2 linked regions of the Arabidopsis thaliana genome follow. The protein of the gene in region 1 interacts with the protein of each later gene in a biochemical or structural test. Each region holds a gene or a part of one and is shown on either strand. Other genes may lie near its edges.

The links.
Region 2: the proteins of AT3G60750 (region 1) and AT3G11630 form a complex in vitro, tested with the Arabidopsis thaliana proteins (one large-scale study listed by BioGRID).

What each region holds. Positions count from the first base shown.
Region 1 is NC_003074.8:22,452,098-22,456,022, reverse strand, and holds the start of AT3G60750 (Transketolase), read right to left. Parts: upstream 2,356-3,925; 5' UTR 2,020-2,355; coding exon 1,537-2,019; intron 1,386-1,536; coding exon 1,295-1,385; intron 1,192-1,294; coding exon 1,086-1,191; intron 998-1,085; coding exon 715-997; intron 634-714; coding exon 485-633; intron 399-484; coding exon 245-398; intron 159-244; coding exon 1-158. Other genes in the region: TTN1 (ARM repeat superfamily protein), read left to right, coding at 2,698-2,913, 3,012-3,559, 3,715-3,817. UniProt on the Arabidopsis thaliana protein: Catalyzes the reversible transfer of a two-carbon ketol group from fructose-6-phosphate or sedoheptulose-7-phosphate to glyceraldehyde-3-phosphate to yield xylulose-5-phosphate and erythrose-4-phosphate or ribose-5-phosphate, respectively.
Region 2 is NC_003074.8:3,670,138-3,674,062, reverse strand, and holds the start of AT3G11630 (Thioredoxin superfamily protein), read right to left. Parts: upstream 2,028-3,925; 5' UTR 1,875-2,027; coding exon 1,668-1,874; intron 1,285-1,667; coding exon 1,210-1,284; intron 1,049-1,209; coding exon 967-1,048; intron 872-966; coding exon 792-871; intron 668-791; coding exon 542-667; intron 448-541; coding exon 334-447; intron 243-333; coding exon 126-242; 3' UTR 1-125. Other genes in the region: AT3G11620 (alpha/beta-Hydrolases superfamily protein), read left to right, coding at 2,329-2,399, 2,489-2,562, 2,644-2,715, 2,839-2,867, 2,978-3,028, 3,135-3,185, 3,315-3,374, 3,472-3,554 and 1 more. UniProt on the Arabidopsis thaliana protein: Thiol-specific peroxidase that catalyzes the reduction of hydrogen peroxide and organic hydroperoxides to water and alcohols, respectively. Plays a role in cell protection against oxidative stress by detoxifying peroxides.

The sequences.
Region 1 (3,925 bases):
GCCTTTTGGAAGTCGCCAAAGGCTTTCAGCAATGTCATGTTGGATGATGCAAGGTCAGCACTTCCACCAAGGAAACCGGGAACAACTTTAGCAAGGGCGTTAAGACATTGCTGTGACAGGTTTCTGGTGGCATCACCTGGAGACTCTGGTGTGTATGTCTAAAAAAGGAAAAAGAAAGATGTTCTATAACTCATATCTAGAATACCAATTGAATTGTACAGAATGCAAAGAGAGTTCTACTTACAGGTAGAGCCTTCTCCCAGCCAGCAGGTAATTCACCAGTGATAATAGATTTCAACTCAGAAGCTTCCTCTGGGTACTTCTTTTCATATGCTGCAAACTTTGCACTCCAGTCAGATTCAAGAGTAGCTCCTTCAGGTGTATGACGACTCCAGTGGCTAGAGAAGTGCAAGTCAAACAGTAAGTCATCAAGGCAACTTCAAAGCAATAAAACCAAACATAAGCCTGCTTTGGATTTACTAACCTTTTTACATCGTCAGGTACCTGGAACGGCTCATACGGCCATCCAAGGTTATTTCTGGTAGCCTCAACTTCCTTCTCGCCAAGTGCAGCTCCATGGACACTGTATGAGTTCGCCTTGTTGGGAGACCCATAACCAATGGTAGTAGTGACCTGGATTACGCAATATGGTAAATCAATATCAAAGGTCTTTAGACCAACCGATGTTTGATGGTTAAGAAATTGTGTAGTTACCTTGATCAAAGTAGGCTTGTCAGTAACAGTTTTAGCTTCCTTAATGGCAGCACGGATCTCGTCATACCCAGTGTTTCCATTCTTCACCCAGATAACATGCCATCCAAGGGCTTCAAATCGCTGGTCCACGTTCTCAGTGAAGGCAATTTCTGTGTCTCCATCTATAGAAATGTGATTGTCATCGTAGAAAGCAATGAGCTTTCCAAGTCCCCAATGGCCAGCTAGAGAGCAAGCTTCATTAGAAATACCCTCCATCTGACAACCATCTCCAAGGATCGCATATCTAGACAATCAATCAAAAACAGTATTTCTATTATCAGAGCTATATACAAACCAAGAACGACAACATAACTATGGGTTATATATATTACGTGTAGTGGTCGACTACTTCAGCATCAGGTTTGTTGAATCTAGCAGCCAAATGCTTCTCAGCAAGAGCTAAACCAACAGCATTAGCGATTCCTTGTCCAAGAGGACCTGCATAGCAGCCAAAGCAGAGAGCACAATTGTAAATACAGTTATAGATAGTTTCTGTGAAATTTCACATGAACCATAAGCCAAAAGAAGCAAAATCTCAAACCAGTAGTGACTTCAATTCCAGGAGTCTCGAAATTCTCAGGATGTCCTGGTGTCTTGCTTCCCCATTGACGGAACTGCTTCAAATCTTCCTCCTAATAAACAAATCCAAACACCTTTTCAGTGAATCTACTTCAAGCAGCCATCAGATGAATATCAAAACAGATTCAATCTATCCACTAAAGTTACTACATTCATCAATTACGATCAGATCGAAAGCAATTAAACAGAGAAGAGATCACAGACCTGGACGCTGTCGTAGCCGGCAAGATGAAGCAACGCGTAGAGCAACATACATCCATGTCCAGCAGATAGAACGAATCGGTCACGGTTGAACCAATAAGGGTTCTTGGGGTTATACCTCATGACCTCATCATACAAAATGTGAGCCATCGGAGCACAACCCATAGGAAGACCAGGATGACCTGATTTGGCCTTCTCCACCGCATCGATAGCCAAAAACCTAATCGAGTTGACCGATTTGTCCACAATCGACGAATCAGTGGTTGGCTCAACAGTCTCAACAGCTGCAGCGCGAACAAGAGGACGGAGAGATCGGTTTTTGGTCATGGATTGAGCGATACGTCGACGAGACGAAGCTGAGGCGCGTGAACCGGTGGATTTGAGTCCAGAGAAAGCTGGTAAAGATCCACGTTGGTCAGAACCATGGTGAGAGATTGCACGAGCTAGGAGAGCTTGAGAGAGAGCGAGGGAAGAAGTAGAAGCCATGGATTTGACTCTCTTGTGATAGAGAGAGAAGAAGAAGAAGAAGAAGGTGTGTGATGATGGTGGTGAAGAAATGAAGAAGATGAGAGACTCTCTCTGCAACTCTTATTTTATCAGTGTGTTGATTTTTAGCCAATCAAACAAAATTTCGCCATCTCTTCGTTTTCACTAAGGGACAACTTGGATCAAATATGACCGTTGGATCTCACTAAAAGGTATAATCTTGACCGCTGATTAAGGCTAAGAGTTTAGTGATCCTCTATGCCTTTCGCTATTTTTATTACTACCATTTTTTGTTCTTTGGATATTCCGCCATAATGAAATAGGATAAAATATCTTTTTTAAAATGAGGTACGACAAAAAAAAAGTTATTTTTAAGGAAATGTTTGCTTATTCTTGAATATACAAAACCAGAAAGAGATTCAAGTATCAAGCCTACCAACTCTGGTTAAGCCGGTTTATAAAAGCACCCAAAGATGGAAAATCTAGACCAACGAAGCTACATTGAGGAAGGTTATAGGCCCAAAATAGGAACATGGGTATATAGGCCCAATAAATTACTATGGGCCTTAACATGTAAACTCATCGTCGACGTCACCGATCTCGTGATTTGCCGGTGGTTCTACACTGAGAGTATTATCGGCGGGCGGGAATTTATTGAACCCCTTTCTCTTTCCAGTAATGGCATCTAGAGCAGAGGAAATGTCGCCGACGAAGATCGAAATCGAAACGGCGGTAAAAATTGAAGAGGAAGAAGACGATGAGCATGATTCTAAGGAGAGAGTTCTACAGAGGTATTTTTTACAAGAATGGAAGCTCGTTAAATCTCTTCTCGATGATATTGTTTCAAATGGCCGTGTTGTTGATCCTACTTCTGTTCATAAGATCCGATCCATTGTACGCTTCTTAGTCTTTTGACTTCATCTACTTGATCCAACCCATGTTTCAGTATCATGTTGATTTACTTTCTCCGACTTTGTTTTGTTGTATTGTAGATGGATAAATACCAGGAGCAAGGTCAATTAGTGGAACCTTACTTAGAGAGTATAGTTTCTCCATTAATGTTTATCATCCGCTCCAAAACAGTTGATTTAGAGGCCAAACCTGATGAAATTCTTGAGATTATTAAGCCAATAAGCATCATTATCTATGCTTTAGTTACTGTATGTGGGTACAAAGCTGTTATCAAGTTCTTTCCGCATCAAGTATCCGATCTGGAACTCGCCGTTTTGCTCCTCGAGAAGTGCCATAGTACAAATTCTGTTTCTGCCTTGAGGCAAGAAAGCACTGGAGAAATGGAGGCCAAATGTGTTACTCTTTTGTGGCTTTCAATCCTTGTGTTGGTTCCGTTTGATATTTCTTCTGTTGATACAAGCATTGCTGATGACAAGACCTTTGGTGTGGATGACCTTGCTCCTTTGGTATTGAAGATATTAGGTTTCTGTAAGGACTATCTGTGCAGTGCTGGACCAATGCGCAGGATATCGGGGTTGCTACTCTCTAAGCTTTTAACTCGTCCGGATATGGGAAAAGCTTTTTCGAGGTCTGTTCCTACCACCATCAGTGCTTCAGTGTTGTTTCACTTTGAACACTTAAGATTGTTTCTAAACTGCTGTTTTCAATTGTAACATGTACAATTTACTCACCGTGAATGGATTAACTAATTTTCTTTATTCTATTGTGGCATTTCCGTTTCAGCTTTTTTGAGTGGACATATGAAGTTTTGTCTTGTAAGGAAGATAGTGTCACGAACCACTTTCGCTTGCTTGGTGTAATGGAAGCTCTATCTGCCATTTTTAAGGTTTATTCTGTTTGTAACCTGGAATTCTCTTTGTTTTAACTTTGGTCCATACTTAACACGTCAAACATATATAGATGTCTGTAAAGTACATAATCAATTTGACTTATC
Region 2 (3,925 bases), about 19 Mb from region 1:
AAGTTTTTTATTATAATTTTGGGGACAAAGTGAGAATCAAACAAAGGATTGTTTTAGCGTACAAGAAAAAAAACTCTGCTCACATATAACAAAGATTGTACCTTTTTGCTATCATAGTAGAGTTTCTAAATAGCTGAGAAGTACTCTTTGCTGAGTTTTGGGTCGGGTTTCATTGACTTCTCACCCGGCTTCCATCCTGCTGGGCAGACTTCATCCGGGTTTTCCTGGATGTACTGTAATGCCTGCAACATTGAAAACGTATTAAGCATACCGGAAATCGAGTGAAAGGAAAGAGCGGTTTTTGGAGTTGTGTGTATTTATTTGTATCTTTACCTGGAGGGTTCTCATTGTCTCATCAACGCTTCGGCCAATACCAAGATTGTTGATGGTGGAATGTTGGATCACTCCTTCCTTGTCGATTATGAAAAGTCCTCTCAGTGCTATTCCCTGTTCTTACACAAACAAAGTTCTTGTTTTCATTTATCCCAAACACTTCGAAAGTTTAAAGGAAGGTAGCCAAGATTTAAAGGCTAACAATTACCTGATCATGGATGAGCACTCCGAACGACTTTGAGATTGATTTAGTGACATCTGAAATAAGGGGATAGTTCAGATCACCAAGCCCTCCAGATTTCCTGTCTGTTTGGACCCATGCAAGGTGAGAGAACTACGAGGACACACAGAAATAAGAATGAATCAAAAATTTGCAAACAGATAAGAACATGGTGATGTCAACCAAGGATGAGGAACTGAGTAAAATGAGAACATAGTAAATGTATAGTGATACTTACCACACTATCGACAGAAACACCTAATACTTCGGTGTTCAACTTCTCAAATTCTGAATGCCGGTCACTGAAGGCAGTAATCTCTAAAAGACATAAGGAAAAAATGAGAAAGATTAGGACTCAAGGATGAGGGAACCTTGGATATTCAATTTTGATATACTTCTCGAGCAATGCTAACCTGTTGGGCAGACGAAAGTAAAGTCCAATGGGTAGAAAAAGAGAATCACATACTTCTTTCCAATGTAATCAGAGAGCTTAACCTGAAACCATACATTCATCAGTTACCAATTAGTTTCCAATCACAATAAGACATATACTCACTAAATAAAAAACACTAAAGACTACTCATTCAGCTTCAAAACTAAACTTAATCTCAGATTAACTAGAAGCAGCAACTGTGATTGATAACTGCTGTAAGTACCTTGATGAACTCTTGATCAAACACAGCCTCTGCCTCAAAATCAGGCGCCTTGTTTCCAACCAGTGGAAGATCATCCTATAATCACCAAATTAAAACTCGTTAACACATCAAATCTAAGGAGAAAGATCAGTCAAATTGACAATCAGATAACCATGGTACTATACCAAAACTACATAGACCTCATCCGAACATACTAATCAGTCAATGAGTATAGCTCATATGTCACTCAATTTCACTTCACCAGAGAAATTAACAACCCTAAACGAAAATGTCACTCAAATTTCTGAACTTTTCGAGTAATCTGCAGAAACACGGTCGCATAACCTATAAATCGTTAACTATTTCCCCAAAACCTATAGGGCTAACAAGTAGGAAGAGAGTGAAATCTATAACAGGCTAATGAATTCAGATTTCAATGACATCGAATAAGAAAAGTATCGACATTTAGATAAACTTACGGCCTGGGCTTTGACAGCAAAGCTCCGACGAGAAGTGGAGCTGAGGGAAGAGCGTCGAGCAAATCCGGAGCGGAGAGAAGCAGATGCGGAAGGAGAAGAAAGGGTTCGAAGGAAAGAAACAGATGGAGAGGAAAGTGAAGACTTTGCTGGAAAAACCCTAGAAGAGGGAGAAGAGATGAGAGTAGTTGAAGAAGCAACAGACGCCATTGCTGCTACACACACTTTGTGACTCTCTGAGTCTGAGCTACCAAACACTCTTATCTATCTGTCAATCACCTCTCTTTGTAGTGGAAGTATGAGGTGGAGATAAGCCTGACGACACCCAAACTCATAAAACGACGTCGCGTTACTCAAAACGAGGTCGTATTACTATTGCTGCAAATATGCGTCTTCTTCTTCTACCTTGGGTAACTCCGTCTCTCCGTTACTTTCTTCCTCCGATCGGTGGTTCAGTTCTCCAAAGTATCTAATCTACTCCTGTTGTTTCAGGTGCATTGTTGTGCTCTCTTCACTTGGTTTACTTTAAAAGGCTTCTTCACTTATTTTGCAAAGTTTTGATTTTTAGTGGTTTCTCTGTTGTCTCATTAATTCTCTCGATCTTCTCCTTTCAAGTGTTGACAGTTCTGAGAGAAGATATAAGTTGAATCGCGTGACCGGAGACATGGAGACTCAAAACAAATTGATGAATGAAACTAAAAGACATGTTAAATCCAGATTGTGCAGAGTTTCTGGGTATTGTTACATTAATCTTTTACGAAATTTTCTAATTTCTTTGACTATAGTTACACTTTTTGTTTTGTTTTTTGTATTTGTGATCAAAGTTCGATGACGGAGATGATGGAAATTCAAGCTGAGAATCCCACATTCCATGTATTGTTTATTCCGGGAAATCCAGGTTTCATTATTATGCTCAAGACTCTTATGCATGCACGTGTATATACTAGTGTGCTTCATACATTGGCTTGTAATTTTTCAGGAGTTGTGTCATTTTACAAGGACTTTTTGGAATCTTTATACGAGTTTCTTGGTGGAAATGCTTCTGTAATTGGTATGGCTGCTCTACTTTTCGAGTTTGATTTCTTTGAGTCCTTAAGATGGAAGCTGTTTATTTCTGAGTTTGAGTTTGTTCTTCTGATCTCTAATGGTGGAGTGGTTTGTTTTATTTGTGTAGCTATTGGGCAAATATCTCACACGAGCAAGGTACGTTAACTTTGGTTTCAGGTTTTACTGTGTGTAAACTTTGATGGTTCTCTTCATATAATATCTTAGTTTGATAGGCTTTCATGATACTTGATTATTTTCACTTTTAGGACTGGGAGTCTGGGAGGCTATTTTCATTTCAAGAACAAATTGATCATAAGGTAATAAAAATCATTTTTCTTCATTGCTCTTGGATTTGAAAGCCTTTAGGTTCTTGTATTGTTCATCCTGTGAAGTTAAGATCTTAATCTGTTAGTTATCATACAGATTGATTTTATCAGACAGGAGTTGGAGAGTGTGAAAGTTCCAATAATATTGGTAAGACTGTCATGTGTATAAGCCATTGACATATTGCTTCTTATGACCAAAATATATATGTCCATTAGTTGGATGGATTTCCAGATTTTCATGAAAATTTACAACTCTAAGCTTAATTGATCTTGGTAGGTTGGGCATTCTATTGGGTCTTATATATCCCTTGAGTTATTGAAGAAATTCTCGGACAAGGTATAGATGGCTTCCTCTAAGAGTAGTACTTTCTCCATCACAATTTCTTTCAGTGCTATGTGATTTTTCTTATATTATTCTCTGGAATGCTTTGCAGGTGGTATATTGCATTGGCCTATATCCATTTTTGACTTTGAACCAACAATCAACAAAGCAATCATTAATTGGCAAACTTGCAGCGTGAGCTTTTGTTCTCAATACGAATCCTCGATAGGAAAGAACCAATCAGTCTTTATTTAGAATGTTGTGAAATCGTTATCATGTTGTGCAGGTCTTCTGTTCTGTCGGCTACAGCAAGTTTTCTGATTGCATCGCTGAGACTTTTACCTATGTCAGCTGCACGGCTGCTTGTATCTAAATCCATTGGAGCTTCATGGTCTGATACTGCTGTTCAAGCTACCTGCACTCACTTGAGGCAGGTATTGATTATCTCATATTCACTGATTTTCTTGGGTTTTACACTTGAACCTAGTTGTATAAAGACTTGAAGATGGCCATTACATCTTCTTTTCTTGATACTTTAAGTTCTTATTCCCTACTAACTATTCAGA